3 linked regions of the Drosophila melanogaster genome follow. The protein of the gene in region 3 interacts with the protein of the main gene of each other region in a pairwise test. Each region holds a gene or a part of one and is shown on either strand. Other genes may lie near its edges.

Region 1 (4,607 bases), on a different chromosome or scaffold from region 3:
TATCGCCAAATTGAATCCATTGATTTCGCATCATAGTCAATTTTATTCCGGCCATTTGCCCAACGTGTTTCATAACTTTGTTAGGGGTATTTGCATAATTGATTTTACTTCCTTCTCAAACGCTATTTACAATAATTAAACTTGACTGAATTGTCAGTGTGGAAACTTGCAAATTGATTATATTGATATTTATTAATGGGCCAAGACAGCGATGAATTAGGGCAACAAATATTTTATAATGGTCCCATTACATGTCGTTTCAACTCAAATATAAACTTTTAAATGCTTGGTATTGTAGGTAAATGGGAAATTAAATTGACAATTATTGTATCAGTATTTTAAGGGCAATTATAACACCCTTTTGCAATTCATTTTATGAATCCAGAAATAAATATATCTTTTTTATACCACATTCTTTGGCTTCTCACGCGCTGCTCATTTATTATGATGTTTTTCACATATCTGACACTTTTTGCAAATAAAATCAAACAGATAAATTAAATTTGCCACAGACTTTTGGCTGTCGTTTTGATTTTTTTTTACTTTTTTTTCGTGTCCATAAAGTTCGACTTTGATTGCATTCGTGGAGCCATGTCTCACGCCGGAAAATCGTACAAAAAAGGAAAATATATTTATTTGTATTTGAGCGAATACTTTTATTGGCGGTTACCTTTGGCTCGCTGTGTGGTCGTTTAATTGAATAATTATATACACACATACCCACGTATATGCCTATAATTTTTTTGCTACTCGGCTTATATTGATTCGCATAGATTGTAAATCAATTGCCATTACATGTGCATCCGCTGGCTGGAATGCAAATGTAACAAATGGCCAAAACGACGATGCGCCTTGACAAACTCAATAAAGGCCCACTTCCCACAGTTAAGAGTTGTCAAAGCTCGACAAATGGAAAAGTGATATAAAAAAAAACATGCAATGTATAAATAAATAATTGTGCAGTGGCTTGGCGTTAATTGCACTTTAAAAAGTCCCAAACAAGTGCCGAAATGGTAAATGCAATTTATTGCCGTCGGCAATCGGCAGCTAACGAGTGCTTCAAATTGAACACGGATGCACTAATTAGAATTTTTGGTCAAAACAATTAGCAATTTAAGCAGAATTATTTCAATTTAGCGAAAAAATGACCCGAAAAGTTTTATTTAATTTCCGCTAATAGAATTGGCAGCTGATGAATGCGAAATTTATTACTCATGCTCCAACAAAGACGGTGGGCAGTCATTGTTGATTGAGTTGTTGTGGACTAAGTTCATTTTTAATAAAATGCGAAAAGCGAGTTTCGTGTCGTTCATTCTGACTTGCAAGATCTTAAGAACCTCTTGCGCGGATCTACATACTCCTCATCGGCTTTATGGATTTCCTGGCAAAAATTTTAAAAGTGTTAGTCACTTGATTTCCAGTTTTGCGCAACTCATGTGAAATAATTAATATGAGCACACGCCTTGACCAACATTAATTTAATAATTTTTCATTAGTTAAACCATCATCTAAAAATTAGTCAGAGCTTAATGGGTTCCTTTTTTGGGCGCTTCTCTTTAAATGTAATCGTTTAACTTAGTGGGTGCATCGTAACCTTTCTGCTTTTAGTTGTTTAAAACTAATTTTTTTTTGCTGAGCAGGTCAAAGTTACCTAACGAGTCGAGTTTTGCGGTTTTAATTGTACCAAGTAACGCGGTCACCTCGATTATTGTTGTTGTTCTTGCGGCAACGCTCATTGTTGCGGTTTGTGTGTAAATTTTGGAAAGGTTAAGTGCCTGGTTGCAGTCAGCAAATTAAATAATTACAAACGGCTGTTAAAGAGCCAGAGTTATGAGCCCTTCGCAGAAGGACAGCTGATATGCAGAAGTACTCTAAATTTACAACCAGACCTTTTCTTTAAAAACCTACATATATTGCCAATAAATATTTATTTAATTGTTTAGTCAAATAAAGTATTAGATAAAGTAACATCCAAATATCACTTAAAAACCAAAAAAAAAATCACTTAAAGTGTAGTTCTTAAACATGGTTTCTCTGTGCTTTAACCTTAAGTCATTTGCTACATCTTTACACCGCCTCGACAAAAGTCGTCCGAAACTGAAAAGTTCAAAAAACGCGAGACAAAAGTCGCGGCAACAAAGGCAGCAGCAAAAGCAGAAGCATTCATTTGGAGATTCAACTTCGCCTGAGTTTGCATTTTAAAGCCGTTGCTGTTGACCTTGGGCTGCATAAATCGAATTGGAGCAGGTCGTTGACGAAGCTGGTGTTTTTACTGAATGGTTTTTTCTTTTGGGAATGCGAAGCCCTGCATTATCTGGGCATCCTTGAGCTGGTTGAGTGGGAAATCCCCTCAGCATCCACAGCAGCCCTTGGCATTTTAATGTGAAGGAGGCCAATGGCCTGCGGTTACCTGTGCTCCTTGAAGTTCTTAAATGGACCGCAGCTGCTTTTATTCCGGCGAGAAACCACGAATTGCAGGAACTGTGGCAACAGTCTGTTATTGATTTTCCTCGTAATTTGTATTTTCCCCCTTTATTTTTGTTGTTTTGTTATTTTTTGCTGACTAACTTTTGGCTTTGCGGCTGGCAAAAGTCAACAGAAACGTAAAGAACACGTTTGCTTTTAGTTAACCTGTTTTGGCAATGCCCAAAGATTGCGATTGAGCAAAGATTGAGCGGACACAGATACAGATACACCGAAACGTACACAGATACTACTGCCGACTAGACGAAGCGTGGTTGTTGTTTTCAATTTTTGTTTTACTTGCACAATTAGCCAACTGAAAAATTACCACACTGAGATGGATTTGAAAGCTGCACTGCACAATAATCGCCGCTAAAATTGGCTCATTCACAACGCTTGCAAGAAACTACGATCTGCAAAGTGCTCTGGTTTATGTCAACGCGAAAAATCCGCGCGCAAAGCCACACTAAAAGTATCTTAACACTCAGCTCAGGTTCTCGGCTTTGTTTGCTCAAGCGTTTCCGCGTTTTGCTTCTCGACTCGCCGACGACGTGAATTCAACTGATCAACTCAACAAAACCGACTTCGTAGCGCTGACAGATCGCCCAATTCGAAAATAGCATCGGCCTTATCGACAGCGGCGTCGGCAGCGACGTCTCTTGTTTATAGCCGCGTTTATGAAGCCGTCTAAACGACGCGTCTAAAAGATCAAAAATAGTAAGTGGAGTGCTTGGACTTCTGTGGCCGAAACTCTACCCACTTGACTAGCACAGGTGGGAACAGATCTGGGTCACGGTGGAAGTCTTTGCTAAGCTAAGCTTACAGCAGATCATTTTGGGAATTGAGCTTTGATCGTTCAATGCACAATGCGTCGTGGTTCATGTCCTTGCTATATTATAAATAAAAATTATATATTTTAGCTTTCTCTTTTTGATATACAAAAAATCAACAATTCTTTTTTAAAAAAATATTTATTTTGTATTTAGTAAGTTTAATAACTTAAATAACAATTTCACTTGTGCAACTAGCCTGCTGAAAGGACTTGCCCATACGAAAACTTAATAAAAGATTATCATGTATGGTGCATTGTGCCGTAACAAAAACACACAAGGCCCGAGCGATAATAGCAGCAACAATGCCGTCGGCCAAATGCGACCTCCGACCTCAGAGTTGGCTTATGTTCGTTGGGCACGCAAATCGGTTATTAGCTATAATGCAAACGTATTTTAGACACACACATTTATATCGCTTATTTTCGATGGTGCATTATTGCGGTTGTCTGATTGAAACGCCAGATCCCACACGCGGCCTTTTTGTTCGGGCCTGGACTCAAAGATAAGCGGCCCTCGGGACCTAAATAACTGGAACAACAAAAAATAAACGGACAAACGGACGGCAAACAAACTGTCTATTAGTTATTGTTGTTTGATTTGCAAAGCGTTTGTCATTTGTTAAATAAATTGATGGCCATTGCGGACCACTCGGCAAATAGCAAGTAAATACGAAAAGGGACACAAGTGGCTGAAATAACCGGAAAAGCTAATATTGAGCTTATGATTTAAGGCAGGCCAGAAAATGGCACTGGAATCCACAGCCCAGCCACCATTGTTCACAGTTTCGATGAAACTTTAAACTGGGGGGACTGTCAGAAGGCCTCAAAAGCAGCGGCAGTTAAGCATGACAAAACGCCGGGGCATCTCGGGAGGACACCCCTCTATTATCCTTCCAAAATCATCAGCTGTCAGTGCAGTGAGTTGAGACTTCAGCCACCAAAAAACGAGTCTGCAGTGTCACTGAGCGAGAAAGGAGCCCGCCAGAGAGCACAAGAAACTGAAATGACATTGACATTTTGAATAATGACGCAACACTATTTAAGTGGGAACTGCACGTCTAAAAATTGAATGAAGCCGAAAAATTATAATTAAATGCTTACAAAAATTTTTGGTAATGTAGAAGATTCTTTTCGACAACCCAAAATTGATATTCTTTAATTTGTAAAAGTATTGCAGGACATATTACATTTAAGTTAAATAATCAGTTAATTTTTAGACGTGTATTGACAGCTTTCCCAGGGCACAGGCACCCAACGGAGTTTGGAATTGGACTTGCCCATGGGGAGACGCTCGCCGGACTGCTGGCAGAGA
Region 2 (5,011 bases), about 13 Mb from region 3:
TTTTCTTCTTTCTTGGTCTCAATTCAAATGTATTGCCTGGATGCAGTTCATCATCGCTTGTGCCCTCCAATTGAACAGCATTCATTTGTGCTCGCGGCGACGAGCTAAGAGAATCCTTTCTGGGAAAGGAGGACATTGGCTTGACTACCACGCTCAAGGCTTCCAGATTGATACGTCTGTTGTCGTCGGAGGTTTCTGGTTCCAAAGGAGTAAAAGGCTCCATGGAATTTATGGACTTCAGTGGCTTTCGAGGCTCCTGAAAAGGTTCCAGGCGTGCAGCAGCCGCCGGAGCAACCTCAAACCTCTTTGGCTTCATTGGCCTCCTTAGCTTCATCTGCTGCTGGTGCTCCTCCCACACCCGATCCTGCAGTTTCAACTCCTCCTCCTTGGCCACTGCCAAGTCGTACAAGCTCTCTTTTTGGCTCGCTGGTCGAATTCCAAAGGAAAATACCCTGGATGGTGGCCTTGGCTCGGGTTTTTCGATACGTTCAGACGTCTTTGTTGTTGGTTCTTTCTCTTTAACGTGGTTCTCCGATACATCGTCGTCCGTTGAGTGACTTAGCAGTTCCAATTCCAGGTAGTTGAGATTCTTGAGCACCGATAGGGCATGCTGCTTGGTGGCCAAAATGATTTCCAGCAGCACCTTGGCACCTCCTAGCTTTTGAGATTTCGTCGATATGGGGCACTTATTACTGGGCTTAATCCTTTGAGCAGATGGCTTTCGCGTCGTTGGTGGACGCGAAGGTGCGGAAGGCGGAGGACGAGGTGTTGGTGGAGATGTGGGAAGCGGCTTGAGCGGAGGATCGGATGAGGGTTCCGGAAGGCAGAAAGTGGTGGGACTGCGCGTTGTGGTACTAAGGGTCGTCCGATGAGTCGTAGGGCTTCTTGTGGTGAACCCGTGGGATCGAGCCGTGGTGCCACGACAAGGCCCAGACTTCCTGGGCTGATCGACCTTGGAGCTAATGACCTTGGCCAGCAAATTGGCTGTTGCCACAGCTGGTTTTCCATCCAGCTGCTGGTCGTTTAAGTAGCCACCCAGCACCCTCTTGAGCTCACGATCGGACTTACGCTCATTCAAATGCTCATTGAAGTTCATCCTGGCCAGGGACTCGAAGGGATCATCCACATCCTCCTTACCCAGACAATCATCGTGCATTCCCTGTCCAATGGCGCCGTCATCAATCGGAAATTTGTACAAGTTATCTTTGAGCATCTGGGCGGCAACATTCGTGGGACCAACCAGATAGTGTTCCGATTTCACCTTGCCAGCAGCAGCCATTTTTTCTGGAATTCCCAATTTCTGCTCCATGTCGTCCAGCCGCTGGAAGAGCAGTTCCGGATCGGAGAAGTATCGCTGCTCCGAAGGCGCCAAGTCCCTTCGCTCGCTGCCGAACGGCCGCCTGGGCCACGAGGTATCCGCATATGAGTACCTGCGTACTGATCTTCCTTCGGATCGGTCGGTCGCTTGTCCAACGCTCGCCAGGATTGCCATTGCCAGTAATGAAAGTCGGACTGCGCTGTGGCTCAAAATCCGCGTTGACATTGTTCTCATAAGCACAACATCTTGCTGGAATTATCGCCGAGTCATGTTTGTAAAATTCCTTATATTCGAAATCAGTTCCATGACATGTTATGCTCATTGGTTGTTTTTATGTTTAAATAATTTTTTAAAAATCTTCTATAATTAAAGCGAAGAATTCTAAAAAAAAAAGTATACATTAAAAGTGAATTGGTAGATTATTTGCCCAAAGAACTCAAGTGGTCAAGTAGAGTTTAAATGGTAGTAAATAATCTTTTTAATATTTTGTTGAAAGAAGGCAGTCATATTTTTCTTGCTCAACAAAGGACGACGTCAGGTCGAACTTCTAAGGACACGGAGAAGGCTTGTTCAAGCAACAAAGCATAACGGGAATCAGTGGTTGGAAGGTTACTGGAAATCGGACTGGAAAGTGGAAATGCTGTGCTCATTCAGTTCGTAAGCCACAGTCGAGTTTTTCACGTCCAACTGTGCAGCACATCCTCGAAATAAATGGACATATTAAATACAAACTAAATTATAATAAATTGTGAAGTTAAGCGAAAAACAGAGATTTCCCATATCTCCCTGAAAGTTTTGTGTCATAGGCGTGTTTTCAAGAGTTTGCGAACTCATCGTTAAATGACACTCAAACGCAAAAGGCACAAAAACTAAACGCTAAACGGGGTCCGAAATCCTTAGTTAATGCCTTAAATACAAGCGGAAACCAAGTGTTGCGAAACCAAGTGCAATGACTGTCCTCAATATGCACGCCAAAATGATAATATTGATTTTATTTTTCTACAACGGTTCCTACAACTGGAGTAAAAAGCAGTAAGAGGCTCCTGGCTTCCACGCATTTCCTGCGGCAGGCGGCGTTTCATTTCATGTGTGTGCCGTCCTGCGATTGATAATACTCCCAATTATAATAAGGTAATGGGCTCCTGGCTTCTGTTTCCTGGCATCTCCAACTCCCTCTATTGATTTTGCCACTTGGCCAAATGACTGCGGTAACCAGGCAATTTGAGCCAAAAAGCAACACCAACGGGGAGCAGACAACAAAGAAATTGTCAATAAAAGTGCGCAAGAGCAGGGCATCCCCAACGCGACAGTGGCGTCCCGGAATATAAGGCCCAGTTAACAACTAGTAATATTTCAATAAATGAATGATTTCTTTTGTAAAAAAAGAAGAAGAAAACACAAATATTTGGAAAAAAAAAGTACACAAAGCCTAGTGCTCTTTTCTAGAATTAATGTTTATGAATTTAATATAAACATTTATTGCAGTCATTTTGTCAAGGTAGTTTCTTTAGACAAAGCTATATATTAACTTTATATTTATTTATCTTAACTTGTTATCATAAGTAATATTTAAGTCAGGACATCGAGTATACACATTTGAACGCCCTGGAGTGTTGGGCTCTGTGTTCTCGTTCCTCCTTCCAGGACTTCCAGCCTCTGTTCCGTGTGGAATGTGCATAGCCTTCCAGCGCCTGCGCCCTGGTGTCCTGTTGTTTTGATAGTAAAAAGGACATGGCAGTGCAGTTGTTTACAAACACGCACGCCAGACACGCGACACGTGGCGCAGGGAAGTTTCTGGAAGGCATATCGGGTCATGGATGTTGCTGGTTGATAGTGGGAGTGAGGAACACCGAATCTCGAGCGGATCCCATATATTACGCCCATTCCAAAGGCCGGCCGGCTGGGACGACTGGGCCGACTGGGCCGACGTGGCGGATGAGCGATGTCTGCCAACGGTGACGTCATAGTGGGCCAGCGACATTGAACTAGTTTCATCAGCACACCGCTCACATTTCACCAGTGACGTCAATGGAGAAAGCCGCACGTATTAAGCCAATAAGGCTTAAGTCAGCTCGACCTCCGAACTTTGTCTTCCGATCCAATAAAAAACACAACTCATCCAATAACATTGGCGACCAATTGTTATTGGCCTGCCTCGTAAATCGTCTGCCACAACAGCCCTGAGCTTCTTTTGCGTCGCGAATTCATTAGCTAATTAATAATTATGAATTCGATTGATAGTTTATTTATTTGAAGCTTAGACATCTGAATCGATGTCGCACTGTTTATTTGCTTCCTTCTTTGGCTTTCAAAATAGGATTGCTGGTCCAAATAAATTGTTATGGAACATAGATAAGTGTGGTCTGTGGTAATAATTTTCATTTTTTTATGATTACTCTCCAGATAAGTAATCATATTTCGAGTAGCCTTAAAGCACTCAAAATAGCTAAATAATCAGCCAATTCCCTTTCAAAGTGCGCAGTCTTTATAACTCTCAAGAACTAAGTTTTCTTCAAGCCGAAAAGCAAAAAAAAAAAACTTAACAGATTGCCTTCTCGCATTGCAATTGCTGTTTTTCTAGTTTCATTCTCTTAGATATTTGAATAACCTTGGGCTGGTGCAATACACTAAATTCAAATTGCACCATCAAAAAATGTTTGTCTACATCTCGGCAAACACGGCGAGAATTTCATTACGACGCAGTTATAAAGATCTCGACTATATGGCCGCTATATAAAACGACCCACCAAATGGGGCGGTATGGTGGGCGCAGGGGGCGTGGCAGTCGGCCTGGTTGGCACAATCCGTAAACAAAAACAAATGAAAAGCGCCACAGCATTTGGCATTGTTCCGCATGGCGGTGGGGCCTCGAGAAAAATGGGATCACAAGAACAGCTGCCAAAGGCGCCCTAGGCCTACGATTTGGATTACAGTGTAGCATGTAATATATTTTTAATCTGTTCAGACAAAGAAGTAATAAAGTTGCATATAAGTTTAAGGATTATAAGTTTAATAATGACATTTGTTTAACTAACGAAGCACTAACTAAACAATTATGAAAACATTTCTAAGCAGTATTCTTTTCACCTGTCATTATCTAGTCTTATGTTTATGTTATGTTAAAAATTCACTGTAATTAAATCTTTTGTTTTCGCAAACAAGCTGTTTACATTGTGTAAATCCCATTGGATGCCAATTAGTCTGTGACACTCGCAAAAGCCTGAGCCCGTGCGTAAGCATTTATAATATTAAGTATACGTAAACGGGGGGAGGGGCCCTTTTCCCGGGCAACCTTGGTTGCTTGCAACCAGTTGGCATTTCGAGTGGCACCTAAGCTCTTTCGCATTCGATTTAGGGAAAGTTTACAGTTTGCAGAATGCCAGAGTATCTGAAAAGTGCATCCAATCGTGTGATAACAAATACAATCTCTGGGGACAAATTTTCCACTCTGTGGGTCATAAAATTCAAGGTTTTCCATTCTAAGGGGAGAGCTAGGCACAAAAATAGATCATAAACAACAGTTGACTCAGTGCGATAAGCTTAGTAACTAAAATCAAAGTAAGCAAATCAACTGATTGCGTGACTGACTGACTATCATGGGTGTTTATTATTATCATGAGCTCACAAGACCGAATTTATTTGCTAATTGTACACCGCAAAATACAAATATATACACATATATAATATATATTC
Region 3 (4,809 bases):
TCGAAAATCTTTCCCACACCCAACTAGGGAATCCTATAAGTTCAACGCCAGAATAGAAGGTATCAATCCAAAATTTCTTCAACTAAAAGGAAGTCAAAATAATATATCCTTAGGGTCACTAGAAATCGGATAGAAGTTAATTGATAAGCAAAACTTTGACTTTAATGGATACCTTGGAATGCAGATAATAGGTGCAGATACTTTTTCTATACTTATATTTTGGTTTCAATAGATTACGCTATCGTAGGTTTGGCTGTGAAATTTTTTTATGAATCATGAAAATGGCAAATACTATACAGTGCGCATATCAAATATGTAGGAAATGCTGCATCCCTTCAAAAACTATTAATAAAAACAGGATTATTTATAATACATTGTCGTTTTATTTGTGTAAATACCATAAGCATCAAGGTCAAAATTATGAATTCGTAACCAATTATCTCAGCAGATAGATAGCTGTTGTTTTTTTTTAATTAAACAATATGTTCTTAAGGAGATTTACTTAAAATATATTTGTGTGAAATATTTCATTTAGCTGCGCCAATGAGGGTTATTTAATTCAGTTTTTTGGGGATGATACATTTGATCTGTGTACAAAATAACTCTAAGAGGAGGTGAATTATATATTTAATTGAGCGTGTCCGATACAATATGGCATCATGTTGCTGCTGGGCACGCAAAGTAATTAATTCCAAAGATAATCAGTGGCAGAGTATCATGCTCGCAAAGGAACAGCAAAGTCTTATCCGATTGTTTTTCGCACTGCAGTTGCCAAATTGATGCCCATCGACATGGATATACCAAAGGAAGCGGAGTCGAACGACAAGTTCATAGTAAAGTATCGCCAGCAGTATTACGATTTGTCCAGGTTTATGCACAAGCATCCGGGAGGCATAAACACACTCAAAGGTCTCAACAGCGGGGACATGACAGCTCGCTTCCTAAAGGCGCCGCCACATTCGGATGCGGCCATGTACTTGATGAGGGAGTACAAAATCGATCCAGAGGACTCTCGGAAACCAAAGTCGAGCCAAAGGGAAACGTTGCATCACGATGAAGATGGGACTTTGCGACAACGGCCCAGGGAAACGGAGGACAAGAACAATAACCAGGTGGACGATAGTATGGAGGTAAGTTGGATGAGCGGTTTTTAATCTGTAACTCTAGTTGCTGGTCGACTGGATCGCACGTTAAGTTGGTCACAATGCTATCGGGGCGGGGTAGGTCTGCGATCCAAATCTCAGCTAAAAAATATATTATTAACGTAAGGCATGGTTGAAAGGAACACGCGTGTTTTGCAAATCCAAGATTCCAGTAGCTCGCTCGGTCAGTCAGTCGATGGAATGCTTTAATGTTTTTGGGAGCTATGTAGCATGAGTTCTCACAACTGTCGCGACTTGCTGGCCAGCACGAAGACCTTTGCCTTGGAGTATATGCGGATGTCCTCCTCCACGGTGGTCAGCTCCTTGTCGATCTCCGCCTTGCGGTTGCGCACCCTCAACGTCTGTGCAGTCATGGGCATGTGGTTCAGTTCATTAACCAGCTGTTCGTAGCCTGTTAAGATTCGTTAGCAAGGGTCAAACTTATAGTAGTAACATTAACTCACGTTTCTTAGCATTAGTGAGGTGCGTCAGTCGGTCCTGATCGCTGAGCAACACATGGCCACGCGGACAGTCGGGATCCAGCGATTCCGCAAGCTGCTTGGCCACCGCCTTCTCGCGCTTCTGCTTTTCCAGGTAACGCGGCAAGCGCACCTCATCTCGGGCTGTCAAAAAGTACAAATTCATGACTAGTTCAAATCAAATCAGGAGGGAATATAAGATATTTAAAATAGAGAATAATTATAGATTATATATGAAATAATTATCAAAGATATTTAATTTTGTCATTACTGTCGCTGACAATTGGTAAACAAGGGATAAACTCACATCCTAGTTTATGCTCACGACGCTTTGACTTAGAGCTTATGGTGGTGACATTGGAGGCCGTTGTGAAACGACTACGGGCACTGAGTGGAGCCTCGTCGTCTGAGGCGCCGTAGTTTGCAGGTTCGGCCTCGGTCATGGGCATAGCCTCCATTTCGGACATGTTGAAGCGACTCTGCTTCGAGGAGTTCGAACGCGCCGAAAGCGGCAACTGTTCCAAATCTTCCTCGTTTTCATATTGCATGGGTTTGTAGTTTTCCCCGTATTTTGCACCGGATTCCTCCAGTATAGATCTGGCATCAAAGTTACATCTGCGGATAAGATAAACCTTTGTGAAAACCTTCGAGTTTGGTGCAAAAAGTCATACTTCTTCAGAGCATTTGTTAGATAGAGTTCGTCGGTAATGTCCTCAGTTTGGATGGCTATGCTGGTGGAGCTCCGATTCGTGCCACACGATTGACAGCGATCAATGTCTGTATCCGACGAAGGCTCTTGGAGATTCTCGGATTCTAAGTTCTCCGACGGGTCATATAAGATGGGATTGCGCTCCTCCAGGCCATCGAAGCGTTCCCCCTCCGCCGGAACGGCCACGGCCAGTTGGTGCTGTGAGCGAGAGGTGCTGCGGCCATTTTGCAACGAGTTCTGTTTTATAGTTTTGCCCTTAGCTGCTGGTTTCTCCGCCTTCGAGTCTCCCATCACGGAGGAAGAGCGTCGCAGCGGGGGCATCCATTTCGGGCGCGTCGGCTCCTTAGCGGCCAACTTCTGGCTGGTGGACTTTTCCAGCGAGCGCAGGCTCACCTTGTTTTCCTTGAGGAAGTTTCGGGACTGTGTGACGCCTGTGGGAACGGAGACCAAAACAAATTACCAACTGGTTGCCATGGCCAAGCGGCTGTTTGGAAAAGAAATCTTACGCGGCACCGAAAAGATGCCCTTTAACGTTGGAATCGGGCGAACTGAAGTATTCGACATGTTCCACCTACTCCCGAACTATAACTAGACGGCTGGGGCTCCAGAAATGTGATCTCGACTACGACAAGTGGAAACTGCGTCGTTGTGTGAAGTAAGGCACAGGTTCAAATGACAATTTTGAACCAGCTGCTTGTGATTGTACCTGCTCATCGATGCCCGATAACATTATATATCGGTTCGGTGCTGACCCGCGGCTGGCCACATTCGAGCCAACTAACGGTTTATGGGATGTCCTAGTGTTTAAGTAAATATTAAATAAAAAAGCAAGTAGAAATCAAGTGAAATTCTTACTATTCTGTAATTATAGTAAAGTTAAAATAAAATAAATAAAAAAATATAAAATAAAATAAAAACTCTGCACAGCTTCTAATTTTAAATATTTAATTTTCAAAGGTAATTAACCAAACCAATTTATGGTAATACATACTGTATTAATTTATTGACTAACCTATTGTAAATTCATGAATTCCAGCACCTAGTGGACTGGTCTAAGGCAATGCTTCCGCAGATAGCTAACATAACGGATTGCTACGATGAGTGGGTTCACAAGCCGGTGGACAGGCCACTGCGTCTCTTTGACCCTTGGTACTTGGAGATGTGCACCAAGACGCCCTGGTGGCTGGTGCCCCTGTTCTGGATACCAGTGATCGTGAAATGCGCCGTGGAGGAGTTCACCACCGCCTGGCAGGATAGCAACCAGGTGAGTAGTCGCGCAATCTTCGCATTCTTGGATACGATCTTCTAAAAGTATCTTCTTTCTGCAGCTGGCTGTGTTCTCCGGTTACTTTTTATTTGGCGTGCTCCTGTGGTCTTTCCTGGAGTACACACTGCACCGCTGGGTGTTCCACGTGAAGCTGAGCAACAAGAGCGGAAGTTGGCTATGCACCTTCCACTTCATGATCCATGGCCTGCACCACAAGGTGCCCTTCGATCCGATGCGACTGGTGTTTCCGCCCCTTCCCGGCGCAGTGCTCGCCGCGGTCATCTACACCCCGCTCAGCTTTGTCCTGTCCCATCCGCGAGTGATCTTGTCTGGAGCTCTGGCCGGCTATCTGTGCTACGATATGATGCACTACTACCTGCACTATGGGAACCCTTCGCTATGGGCCTTTGTACACATGAAGCGCTATCATCACCACCACCACTTCTCGCACCAAACTCTCGGTTACGGCATCAGCAGTCCCTTGTGGGATGTCGTCTTCAAAACGAGAATCCATCTCCGCAAGCTGAGATACCAACTGCGCTGGTCCTAGCTGCAATAAATGGCTAATACAGTGCTACTATAGAACAAATTACATTCAGTTTTCAACGCAACAGAGTTGCTGCCGCAGCAAATAGTTCAATCAAATCGGAAATTTGGTTTTTAGCCTATTTGTGTAGGCTGAATACTGAGCATTAGGCTTAAGAATTATTTGTAAGACTTTTACCAATTTCTATTAAACAGGAATACACTTCCAATGATACCAAAGAACAAATGGAAAATCCTTTTTGAAAACAGAAAACTGGGCAATCAAAGGAACTATTGGAACTATTTTGGAACTATTTTGGGGAAAAACAAAAAATTTTCGGCAATTTTATGATGCGTCACCAAAGTTTACATTAGAAGTTTGGTACCTTACCTATATATGAGAGGGAATACTTTGATTAACTTTTAATTCCTTTGGTAAATGCCTTATCATCACTCTGGAGCGTTTAAATATTTTTGTTTAAAATCGAATAAATAAAGAAGCAGACAGACGGTTTGTATGAACACTTTCATTTACCTATTTCATACAAATCTGGTACAATCAGTTCAAGTTTGTTTAATAATTAATATTATATTATTAAAATTAGCTTAAGATAATTGTTTAAGACCTGTCTTAAGTGGAATTTCTCATTGGCGTTGCTTGGTCACACTACCAAGAATCCAGCGAAA

What was found.
Region 1: the proteins of CG11125 (region 3) and osy interact in a two-hybrid assay, tested with the Drosophila melanogaster proteins (one large-scale study listed by BioGRID).
Region 2: the proteins of CG11125 (region 3) and CG13868 interact in a two-hybrid assay, tested with the Drosophila melanogaster proteins (one large-scale study listed by BioGRID).

What each region holds. Positions count from the first base shown.
Region 1 is NT_033777.3:26,316,777-26,321,383, reverse strand, and holds the start of osy (oskyddad), read right to left. Parts: upstream 3,030-4,607; 5' UTR 2,411-3,029; intron 1-2,410.
Region 2 is NT_033778.4:20,313,889-20,318,899, reverse strand, and holds the start of CG13868 (uncharacterized protein), read left to right. Parts: upstream 1-1,982; 5' UTR 1,983-2,449; intron 2,450-2,904; exon of another isoform or gene 2,905-3,605; intron 3,606-5,011. Other genes in the region: CG13871 (uncharacterized protein), read right to left, coding at 1-1,492.
Region 3 is NT_033778.4:7,445,739-7,450,547, reverse strand, and holds CG11125 (uncharacterized protein), read right to left. Parts: upstream 3,076-4,809; 5' UTR 2,895-3,075; coding exon 2,837-2,894; intron 2,762-2,836; coding exon 2,293-2,761; intron 2,237-2,292; coding exon 1,929-2,236; intron 1,766-1,928; coding exon 1,607-1,765; intron 1,555-1,606; coding exon 1,382-1,554; 3' UTR 1,131-1,381; coding exon of another isoform or gene 780-1,130; 3' UTR 553-779; downstream 1-552. Other genes in the region: Fa2h (fatty acid 2-hydroxylase), read left to right, coding at 780-1,130, 3,367-3,594, 3,659-4,147.